3 linked regions of the Xenopus tropicalis genome follow. The protein of the gene in region 1 interacts with the protein of each later gene in a pairwise test. Links are inferred from orthologs where the notes say so. Each region holds a gene or a part of one and is shown on either strand. Other genes may lie near its edges.

The links. The genes of interacting proteins can lie anywhere in the genome.
Region 2: the proteins of stub1 (region 1) and olfm3 interact in binary tests that used the Homo sapiens proteins (3 or more experiments, as listed by UniProt). The two-hybrid records come from large-scale screens. The link is inferred for Xenopus tropicalis from reciprocal best matches to the Homo sapiens genes STUB1 and OLFM3.
Region 3: the proteins of stub1 (region 1) and hspb1 interact in binary tests that used the Homo sapiens proteins (3 or more experiments, as listed by UniProt). The link is inferred for Xenopus tropicalis from reciprocal best matches to the Homo sapiens genes STUB1 and HSPB1.

The regions. Positions count from the first base shown.
Region 1 is NC_030685.2:14,826,212-14,829,188, forward strand, and holds the end of stub1 (E3 ubiquitin-protein ligase CHIP), read left to right. Parts: intron 1-289; coding exon 290-346; intron 347-546; coding exon 547-663; intron 664-1,297; coding exon 1,298-1,423; 3' UTR 1,424-2,477; downstream 2,478-2,977. UniProt on the Homo sapiens protein: E3 ubiquitin-protein ligase which targets misfolded chaperone substrates towards proteasomal degradation.
Region 2 is NC_030680.2:109,189,359-109,193,390, reverse strand, and holds the start of olfm3 (noelin-3), read left to right. Parts: upstream 1-1,232; 5' UTR 1,233-1,333; coding exon 1,334-1,462; intron 1,463-4,032.
Region 3 is NC_030678.2:94,196,768-94,200,756, forward strand, and holds the start of hspb1 (heat shock protein beta-1), read left to right. Parts: upstream 1-1,189; 5' UTR 1,190-1,237; coding exon 1,238-1,619; intron 1,620-3,989. UniProt on the Homo sapiens protein: Small heat shock protein which functions as a molecular chaperone probably maintaining denatured proteins in a folding-competent state. Plays a role in stress resistance and actin organization.

The sequences.
Region 1 (2,977 bases):
CACCCCGCTTAATATATATAAGGGATGCTGGTTTATTGGTTGTATCAGCTGAGGCCTTGTCATGTTGTACAGCTGTGATCTGTGCTCTGAGTGGCAGGTGAGTTACCCTATCAGCCAGTGCCCCTGTAGCAGCTGAAGTCCCGCTCCCTGGAACACTACAGAGCAGAAATCACACTCTGCACAGAGAGGGGTCCTGGTGAGGAAAGACATCTTTATGGATAAAGGGAACATCTTTATCACTGTACAGCTGCAGTCGCCAACACTGTTTTTTTTTTTTGTTGCTCTCTAGGACAAGCATCTTGCTGAGATGGAGGAGCTTTTCTCTCAAGTGGATGAAAAGAGAAAGGTGAGTGTTTAATACTCGACAGCAGTCATAGCTCATACAGGGCCCAGAGCTTTCCTTTTCAGCCTCCTAGAGTTACCGGTATTCCGTTATATCCGTGTTTCCAGCTTGGGTTTGGCAGCTATAAGAAATGAGAAAAGCCGTGTGTAGAGCTGCCATGATGTTGTCTTTATTCTAAGCTCTCCCGGTCCTTCTCTTAACAGAAGAGAGATATCCCAGATTACCTGTGCGGCAAGATCAGCTTTGAGCTTATGAGAGAACCCTGCATAACACCCAGCGGCATCACGTACGATAGGAAAGACATCGAGGAGCATCTTCAGGTAATGTAATATGGGGAGCGGTATGGGAGGGAGGGCTGGGAAATGTTGGAATGAAGGAACGATGTAGGTGTAGATGGACAGGGCCAGATTGTTCTGTGGGGATACCGGGTAAAAACCCAGCAGGCCCTGGCCCTCGTGGGCCCCAACCCAATTGTGATAAACTCTGAAGGGACAGTGACTCCCCTGTTTCAGGATTCATAATAATCTCACTAAGACAGATCTTGGAAAAGTCCATTCAGAATAGAATAATTAAAGGATATTTATATTGCATGGGCCTGCCTATGGGTTGGGGCCAACAGATTACTCCAGCCCTGCAAGTTGTGTCTCTGTGTGTCTCCGAGGAGGCAGGTAATGGGGGTGGGTTAGCAGTGGGTGTGGGGCAGATAATTCCAGACCAGTATATTACAATTTGACATCTCAGAACATGGTATAGTGATGAATTATATTTATGTGCACATGTAAGAGCTGAAATTGGCAGATGTGCAGCTATTGGAAGTGAGCATCAGCTGCTCATATATACACTGGGGGGGTTTCATTCTGCTGTAACTGCCAGCACAGTGATACAGGCACTTGCAAAGCTTTCAGGACATGTATGTGTGCCAGCCCCAGTCTCACTTGTTTATTCTTTAACCAGAGAGTCGGCCACTTTGATCCAGTGACTCGAAGCCCTTTGACTCAAGACCAGCTCATCCCCAACCTGGCCATGAAGGAGGTCATTGATGCGTTCATATCAGAGAATGGCTGGGTGGAGGACTATTGATCATGGGGAAGACTGCAGAAGCCTGGCATTGCCATTAGAGTCCTACTCCTCTTGTGTCACAGACTGTGCCTGTCCAGCCTTAAGCCTTACTCTCCTCCCCTGTGTCTCTGAGCCCTCTGCCAGTAGTCTCTTCTAGGTCCAGCAACCCAAGTCTGCTGCTTTGGTCCTTACTCTTCCGGACCTCCCTGGATTCCCAGTCTCTTGTTTGTGTGCTTTTCCCAGATTCACTACTGCGGTAACCTTCTAGCGAGTGGAACGCTTGCCTGCTTCGGCTTCCTGGTTCATTTCCTTTCCACTTCCAGTAGAGTATTTTATAGCTGTGTGGTTTAAGGGCTGAAGAACTATGTTCTGGTGATGACTTGTTTGCCGACACAGCATGCACTCTGCCAGCCATCATCTCACACCTAGAAGTATTTAGTACAACTCTCAGACTGGGCTACAGTGGTATATGAACAAGCCCGTGATGTCTTCTGTATGCCAATATTTTGCCAGCCGAATATAGCGTGTTCTTATTTAGCTGCTTGACTGTGGAGTTCAACGTTGAATTTTTCTTTTTTGTGAAGTCCTCAACCCGCCCTGCATTGGTTCATTTGCGCTGCGTTGCAGCAGCTGTGATTCGTGGAACAGCACCCTCTGCTGGCAAGACACTAAAAGCAGCACAGCAGAACCTTCAGTGTGGGCTTTGCAGGATGTTGGCTTAGTATGGCAAATTATATACAATGGCTGTGAACTAAGAGTCCGGGCTAAACGGTGCCCTTTGTCCGGTATGGCGACTAACTGCTGCAGGCAGTGCAATGCATGAAACGCATAAAAACCTTTAGATTGTGGTTCCCGAAGCTGCAGATGGAAGGATTTGTATTGACTCAGCCCTAACTACACCAAATGCACATCTGCAGCAATGAATGTATCCACCCCGGGATTTGAACTCCTTGGCTTTACTTTGTACATAGTCCATGTAAATATGTTCTAGTGTCTCTGATATGTATGTGGCCATTGAGGAGTGTGGCAGCCCTTCCGTCAGTACAGATGCATACATTAAAGGAGTTACGCTGTACTGCTGTGCCTGGCTCAATTCACACCCTTACCATTTATTCCTATAACTCTGTACAGAGATTAAATGTCACTCACATCCCAGTGGAGTTTACAATCTAACGTCCCTATCTCACACACTGGGAATTTTCTCAGGAACCACCTGCCTGTGTGTTCCTGGAATGTGGGAGGAAACCAGCCAATCATTCTTGTGGCTGTAATACACCAATTTACTCCTTTGGGAAGGACGGCAAATGAGCAAATATTTCCCCTAGGGCCAAACGATTCACATTGCAATAAAGGGGAAAGGAAAAATCGTAGTGTGTTAATGAGCCTATGTTGTCCCCGACCCGATGACAAAGCCTGTCCGAACATCATCTGGCCAATATTTGGCCAGATAGTGGTTGTGGAGGCTTGTTGGAGGGCCCCGTACATGGGCAGATAAACTGCCGAGTCTGTTTCAAAGGGATACTGTCATGATTTTTATGGTATATTTTATATTCCTAAATTACACTGTTTACATAG
Region 2 (4,032 bases), on another chromosome or scaffold:
TGACCATTACATTCTACCTGCTAATATGTTTTTATGGGTCACTAGGCCTCAATGTTAGACTGGGGTGTCCAGGGCCCACTGGTGCTGCAACCTCAGGGGCCCCCACCCTAATCACTAATTTCTTTGCCAGCCAGCCTCCATGAAATATTCAATGACTGGCAGATGTTTGAACAGTAGTTTGAACAAAGAGAATAAAGCTCTTACACTTTCAGCAGTGCATGCTTTCTCTAAAAAGAATTGTATTTTTATTCAGCATTTTAATGATTATTGTATATAGTCTCAAAAGCAGTCATTTCCCAATAGTTGTTATGTTTATCTAACTGGCAATCCTCTATGATTTGGTTGTCCCCCTCCATTTCTACTTTTACTTTTAATTTATTCAGGGCTCATTTACAAAGGCAAATGCAGTGTGTATAGTGCAAAATCTTTACAACTTAGACACGGTACCAAATTATAATTAGATGAAAGGTTAGAAGCAAGTGTATTGAGAATATGGGAAGCCAGAGTTCCTATACCATGTTGTGCTACACATGCAACTACTCTTACACCTTTGGCAATCAATGAGGCTCAGAAGCTGCAGTTCAGCAACAGCTAATGAGCAGCAGGTTGGACATCCCTGTGTACTACATTATTCAGCAATTATTACACCATATTAGTTGTCTTTAGTCCTTTTATCTATTTCTTCCAAAAATCCTCTTTGATGGTGGGAGCCAAAAGCAAATGTAATTTATGCCCTATCCTAAAACTGGCCTTGTATTTTCTAATTTATGTGTTGAGCTTAAATGAGAAGTAATTAGCCAGCCACTAGGCTTAGATTTCATTTTATCAGCTGTGCCATCATTAATTCCATCCAATATGTTTCATAGCCAGGGGTTTCTGTTTATCCAGGGCTGCTATTCTAACATAGAAGGTACCAATGTTCATTTACCATACATTCAGCTGCCCTATGAAAAGAATGAAATGGGTTACTGGATTGCTTCAGAAAAGGAAACTGGGTCAGCATATTGTTCTGCTGATATAATCAGCCCCGTGTTTATCCAGTGAGCAGCTGAGTAAAGTTAGAAAGCCTACTTTTTTAGTTTCATTTTGCCCCTTGCTCTATAGGCATTTGTATTTCAGGGAAACACCAGAATATGAGCTTTTAATGGGAAATGGGAAGTCCTGTATATTCATGTGAGATTAATGAGATGAATGTGTCAGCGTGCACTGAGTGTGTAGCCTTTTAGGCACATCCTCCTGTTGGAAGCCGTTTGCTGCTTTCAGCCGTTACTCCTCCCTCTCTCCATCTCTGGTGCTGATTCAGTTACTATGAAAACTCAGTAGCTTTCCTACTATGGGCTCTCCGTTCCTCACACTTGGTGCTGTGCTCTGCACCATGGCAATGATCTCTAACTGGATGTCCCAGACTCTCCCTTCCCTGGTTGGGCTAAATACCACAGGACTAAGTTCAGGTAAAGCCTTGGTAAGTCCAGTCACTCGTCGCCTTTCCCACACCTGTAATCCGTTCCCACCCTAGCATGTCTGTGCTGTTATTAACCCTTTACTTGGCAGCAGCGGGCGCATTCCAGGCCTTGACCTAAAACTTTTTAGTCTTTCATCTTCATAATTACTTTCTAGGTATAAACATTTCCATGTATCCTATAGTTCCATGAATCTTATATTTGTATTAGAGAATGATGAAACATCAAGTTATGAAAACAGAATATTCACTTTGTTCAAAATAGGAACGCAGCAGTTATTATTTTAGTAATTATAGAATCATGCATTGATTACACTAATCCTTGTATACCTTTGTCGTGTGTATGGTGTACATGGTGGTATTTTTTTTTTTTCAAATAAATCAGGTAGGGTTCTTTAATTGGGAGTTTAATTACCTCCAGAAGAAACCTCCTGTACTCTTTATCCCATGCTGTTTCTTGCAAACAAAGGGTTAATAGTTCTTCTCATAGAGCAGAAGCTCTGATGCCTCAATGTGAGACTTTAAAGCTGCTTCATTAAGTATTTAACAACTGATGTTTCAGTGGAGGATACGTTTCAGCCGTTGGGAAAGCAGCAAGAATCTTTGCAAATCTTTCTTGTGTCTGGGGAATATACACTGAGTTGTAAAAACCTACCATTTGTCTCCTAAATGAAACTGTACATATTGGCTTGGGTAAAGTTTGTGCTGCTTTGGCTGATTAGATGTTCTTTTCTCAAAAGTAGTATCAGTAACAGAATCACTTCCAATTTAAATCACAAACAAGTTTGCATGCTTGCGTTCTTACGACAGACTGGGGAAATCTCTAGCCTAGCCATTTCATATAGATTTTTGTGCCAAAAAGATAAAATCATTTGTGAAAAAACACAGAAAAGAAATGATGTGACATCTCTGGTCAGAAGTCATTGTAAGCGTCATGGTTCTAGATGTAGTCCAGAACTGGGGGTCATTTAAACCGACTGAGGAAATTTGCACCTGGACAGTAACCCATGGCAACCAATCAGGTATTTGCTTTCACTGCTTAATCTGCAGCTGTATGAAAAAGGCTAATCACTGATTGGTTGCAATAGGTTACTGCCCAGATGCAAATTTGCCCAGTATTTATAAATGACCCCCACTAGTGTGTCTGCTATGCCAAGAATAAATGAGGGACATTTTCTGTTATCCACAATTTCACTAATTTGGATCACCATACTTTAAGGGGGCCATTTATTAACTGTCTGATTTTTTTTTTTTTTCTGATTCGAATTTTTTCAGGGGAAAAAAGTCAGAGATTTTCTATGCATAAAAAGGCTGAAAATCCAAATAAGACAATTCACCAGCTAAAACTTGCCAATATTGTGTAGAAGTCACTGGCAGATGTCCCTTCCCTGGAGGATACTTCTTTGGCTTCCGAAATTTTGACATTGTTTTTTTGGGTGCCAATTAGAAAAAGTTGCAGTTTTCTTGGGACAAGTAAAAAAAATCTGAATTTTCAGACTTTACTGCAACTTTTCCCGCACAGAATTTTTCAGTTCAGACTTTTTAGTGAATGTAAGAAATTCATGGAAACGAGTTTATTCAAATTTTAAAATGAAAAAAATTAGAAATATTACCATTTCAGTAAATCTTCCCCACATGTACAGGTATTGGACCTGTTATCCAGAATGCTCGGGACCTGGGGTTTTCCTAATCTGGATCTCCATATTTTAAGTCTACTAAAAAATAATTTCAACATTAAATAAACCCAATAGGATTGTTTTGCCACCAATAAGGATTAGTTATATCTTAGGATCAAGTACAAGGTACTGTTTTATTATTACAAAGGAAAAGGAAATATTTGAATTATTTGAATAAAATGGAGTCTATGGGAGATGGCCTTACCTTAATTCAGAGCTTTCTAGATAACAAGTTTCTGGATATCGGATTCAGAAACTAGTGGTAGTATGAATATTTTTTGACAGTGCAATTCTCCTGCAGCCAATAGAAAGATGTACCAGTAAACAGGTAACAAAGTAGTTTGTTTTTGTTATATTTGAGTTTTTAACAGTGCCACAGGTACAACATTGTCCATTTAGTGACCAGTTTGTAATGCCTGGAAACCTACTGAGAGCTAATTTTTTGAGGTGCTAATCAAAGCTTCCTAAGATTGTTAGCTTCTGGAACACAAAATACAGCATGGTAAATACTGTGTGTATGTATGTATAGATATACAGTATATATATATATATATATATATATATATATATGTATTATTAAGAAAGTTTTTAAAGGGCCAAATTTCATCAAATGATTGTACATCACTGTAATACTTTGTTAAGAAAAATGCATTCAGTACTTTGTCTGGTTGATCAATGGCCCTTAATATAATGATGTGTTAATGATAACTAACATTATAGGCGGCTGGAGCTTTTGTGGACAATTAAATCTCATGCTGGCTAGTGGCTACTGACACAGATCTCTGGTAACACAGGTGATTTTGGGGGCATCAGTCATAATTCTTCCTGTGGGCCCAGGTACTTCCAGATCAACATAGCTGCAAATAATCATGGTATTGGTCAGCTGAATGTTCTGCT
Region 3 (3,989 bases), on another chromosome or scaffold:
TTTGTGGGTATATCTTAGTGACACATTTTTAATGAACACTGGAATTTTATTACAGCTTTCTCATTCTTTCTCAAAATAGTGTAAAAAATTCCTCTGTAGTTTTGCAAGGGCTATTGTAGATTGTTATATTCTGAGTCAAGAGATCTTATAAGGATGGCTCGCTTAAAGGCTAAGGAAAGTCATTTTGGCAATTTACTGCCAATAGATTCTCCACTTTAGTGCCACCTAGAACGCTATATTTATTCTGCAGAAAGCATTACCATACCTGAGTAAAGATTCCTAGAAGCTTTCTCTGTTTTCTGTGCAGCTGCCATTTTAGCTTGGGTTCATAGCTTCCTGCAGTAGATCTAGAGGCTGATAGCCCATATTACACATTCCTAAGGATGGGGGGAATAAGTTTTATGTATTCTTATGGGAAGGGGGAGCAGAAGGGAGAGAGAGAACTAAGCCAACTCAGGGCCCAGGAATGAAGGATTTTTTGAGAGAGGAAGTCAGATACCCTAAGAACATGTTTACAAAAAAGGAGACAAGAAATCCTGTGTTTCTTTTGATAGAGGACTCTGTGAGTCCTTATGGCTGTATTTACATAGACCTTTTTGATAAAGCTTACTTAGTTTTTACCTTTTCTTCTCCTTTAAGTATTTGTATATGGTGTATGCTGGTGCTTTATAACAATGTTGAAAAAAATACAATGTTAATATATTCTTCTCTTCATGTAACAATTCATTTCTTTTATGGTTAAAAATAAAACTAGGAATAATCTTTTTACCTCTTTACAGTAGGCAACTTTGGACCTGGTCAGTAACCCATAGCAGCAAGTCAATGATTAGCTTATTTAAACAAGGAGTAGGTAGAACAATGAAAGCAAACATCTAATTTGTTGCCATGAGGTTCTCTACATTCTACCCTAATTTGCTTTCCTAAAATGTATTCTGCAAAGTCATCAATAGAGAAAGCATCAGTTTATAGACCCTTTACCCCCTTGGGAACTTGAGAAGGCTACAAGTTAAGTTTACCCAGTTTATGAGAGAGTGCCCTGTCATTGTATTGTCATGCAGAGATGCCAGACATTTCCATCACAACTACATGTGTAATTTCCATTAATAGAATGCTCATTCCATCAGCTAAAAATAACCAGCTAGCTCTTCATAAAGCCGCTGCACCTTCCAGACCCTCAGAGCAACCACAGGCCGAACAGAGTAAAGAGCACTTACTAGCTGGCACAGGTCTAGAGAAAATGTCAGAACGCAGAATACCATTCTCCTTCCTCCGCACTCCAAGCTGGGACCCATTTCGGGACTGGTACCAAGGCACCAGTCGCCTTTTCGATCAGTCATTCGGTATGCCACGTATTCCCGAGGACTGGTACCAATGGCCCAGCACCAGCTGGCCAGGCTATGTTCGCATGCTTCCAAGCCAGTCCATGGAAGTTGTCCCCCCCACCACACCTGCTGGTGCAACTGCTCCTGACTTTAATCGTGCCCTCAGCCGCCAGCTTAGCAGTGGAATCTCAGAGATCCGTCAGACTTCAGACCAATGGAAAATCAGCTTAGATGTCAACCATTTTGCCCCAGAGGAGCTGGTCATAAAAACTAAAGATGGCATCGTGGAAATTACAGGTATGGCATGGCTAACCTCATATACTAGCAATAATAGTATAACATTCTACATTGATTATTTTAAAAAATGCCTTTCACATACTGTTTTGCTGTATAATTCCAACACACTGCATTACCACTTCTAATAAATGCACTTAGCAGGGCTGCACTGGTTGCAAAGTAATTACATTTCCCTGAACTTTCAAGCAATTTTGTAATCGATTTTCAAGCTCATAGGACAAAGGACACCTAGTTCCTTACCATAGCCTGGATACAACATGATAGAAAAGTTAAACAAAAGCCATACTGAGACCATCTCCAAGAGGTGACTTCCTTACCTATGCAGCTCTGTCATGCCTAGAATGAAAAGGCACACTCTGTTTTCTGGTACAAAATCACATGTGACGGTTGTCTCCTTCATTGGGCACAGCTACCCCTGCTAGCTAACGTACCTGCCTCTCACCTCGGAGGAATAACCCATACCTAGCTAGCCTAACCAAGGACATCCAGCTCCACCTAGGACTGGGCTCTTAAATGTCCACCTTGAAGTTTCTAAGGCCAATGCGGCACTTCCTTTATCTCTACCCTGTAATACAGTTTATTGGGTCCAAGACCTACCCCTACTTAAAACTTCCCAAATCAATTCCTAACTATGGCCAACCTACTCTACTGCCAGCAGAATCATCTGCCATATATACTGGAGGTAATTTATATAGAATTTATGTAGACCTAGAGCAGAAGAGCAAGTGCACTTAGGGGCACAACAGCATGTCCCTTCTCCATTTTTGCCTTAAAATGCAGCTTCATAAGCCAGTCCTATCATCACAGCCTGGACAGGTTGTAAGGAGCACCATTGCAGTTAGCATCTGCCTTCACTCCCTAACTTGTGTGCTTGAATGATAAACAAGTTAGGGGGCAGTGGGAGTAAAACATTACCGGTGCTGCTGTTCATAGCAGCCAACCAGATGTTTGCTTTGGTTTAAAATCTAATTGCTGATTGGTGCCCTAGGCAATGTCACAGTTAGTGTTTCAGTCCACTTTTTACACATGATAAATATTTCCCCTAGTTTGTTACCCATTAAAATTATTATGCAGTACTGTAAGGGCCGGATTTATAGATTTTGCACGCCTAGCCCTGCTCACCACTTGCTTCCCCTTCTCCACGCCACTGCTGTCTATATATATATATATATATATATAATATATATATATATATATATATAAGTCACTCTGCAGCATTGCAGCTACAAATAGCTAGGACTGAAGTATTAAAGGACAGTATTAAAGAGGAATCTCATGAAACATTTTTTTTGTAAAGTAATTAAGCTTACAGTTAGTTATTTTATATAATGACATTATTTTGCCTCTCTATCATGTCCTTCTCCTTCAAGTTTTGGTTAGTCACACACTCACAGAAAAAAGGCAATATTGTTGTGCACAAATCATAATAATCATACGATACTTCTGCAAATAGAAAACTTGATCATCTCTATTTCTGCCTCAGCTCATTTTTCCAACTCATTTTTAAAACATATCCTATGGTCTATTTAACACACAGTAAACTGTAGAAATGTAATGGGGGTGGGGGAGACCACACTGAAACTGTGGTATGGGTGCTGACAAATTTCACATAGAGCAGCAGGTGGCAGCGATTACAATAGTTATATATAACTAGGGGAAGTAGAGGAATCATATTGTTAGATAATAGGTTTAATTTATGAATGCTCGGGGCAAAAAGGGTCACAGAAGTTCTCATAAAAATGGCATAACCAATGTTCTTGCACCTACTTGCATTCATCTCAATTTGCCTTCCATCTGGCAATAATGCAAATTGCTAGTGGGAAAACATATGCATCACTTTAGGTTTATGAAGTTGTTAAAGTTGCCTTGCAAGTAAACTATAGGCATTGAGGCATTTGGAGGAGATTAAAGGTCCACAATAACGATTTGTTGCAGGCGACTAATCTCCTCTTGTGCCATTGAGATTGGTCACTCGTGGTTAAATCTTGGCTACTGTGGGTGACTAATCTCTTTGAAATGCCTTCCCACAGGAAATAAAGTGAATAGCAGATGGAAAACAAAATGCTGCATATTTTTTCCCACAGGTTATTCATTATATTGCAAGTGGAAAGGCATTTTGGGGAGATTAGTTCCCTGCGAATAATATCCCTGTGGGCCATGGCCCTTAAGCAAGTCGGCTTGCTCAATAATCTTGAAATGGTTTCAACACAGTCCAGGCAGCCCTGTGCTGTAGACTTATCATTGATAAGCCTTAGAACACAAAGCTGGCATCAGATGCATTTATCAGTCGTGTTTAAGAGTAGAAAGAGACAAGGTTTATTAGATATGCCATTAGCAGCGCAAGTCTTTTGAGGGTAACTGGGGTATTGT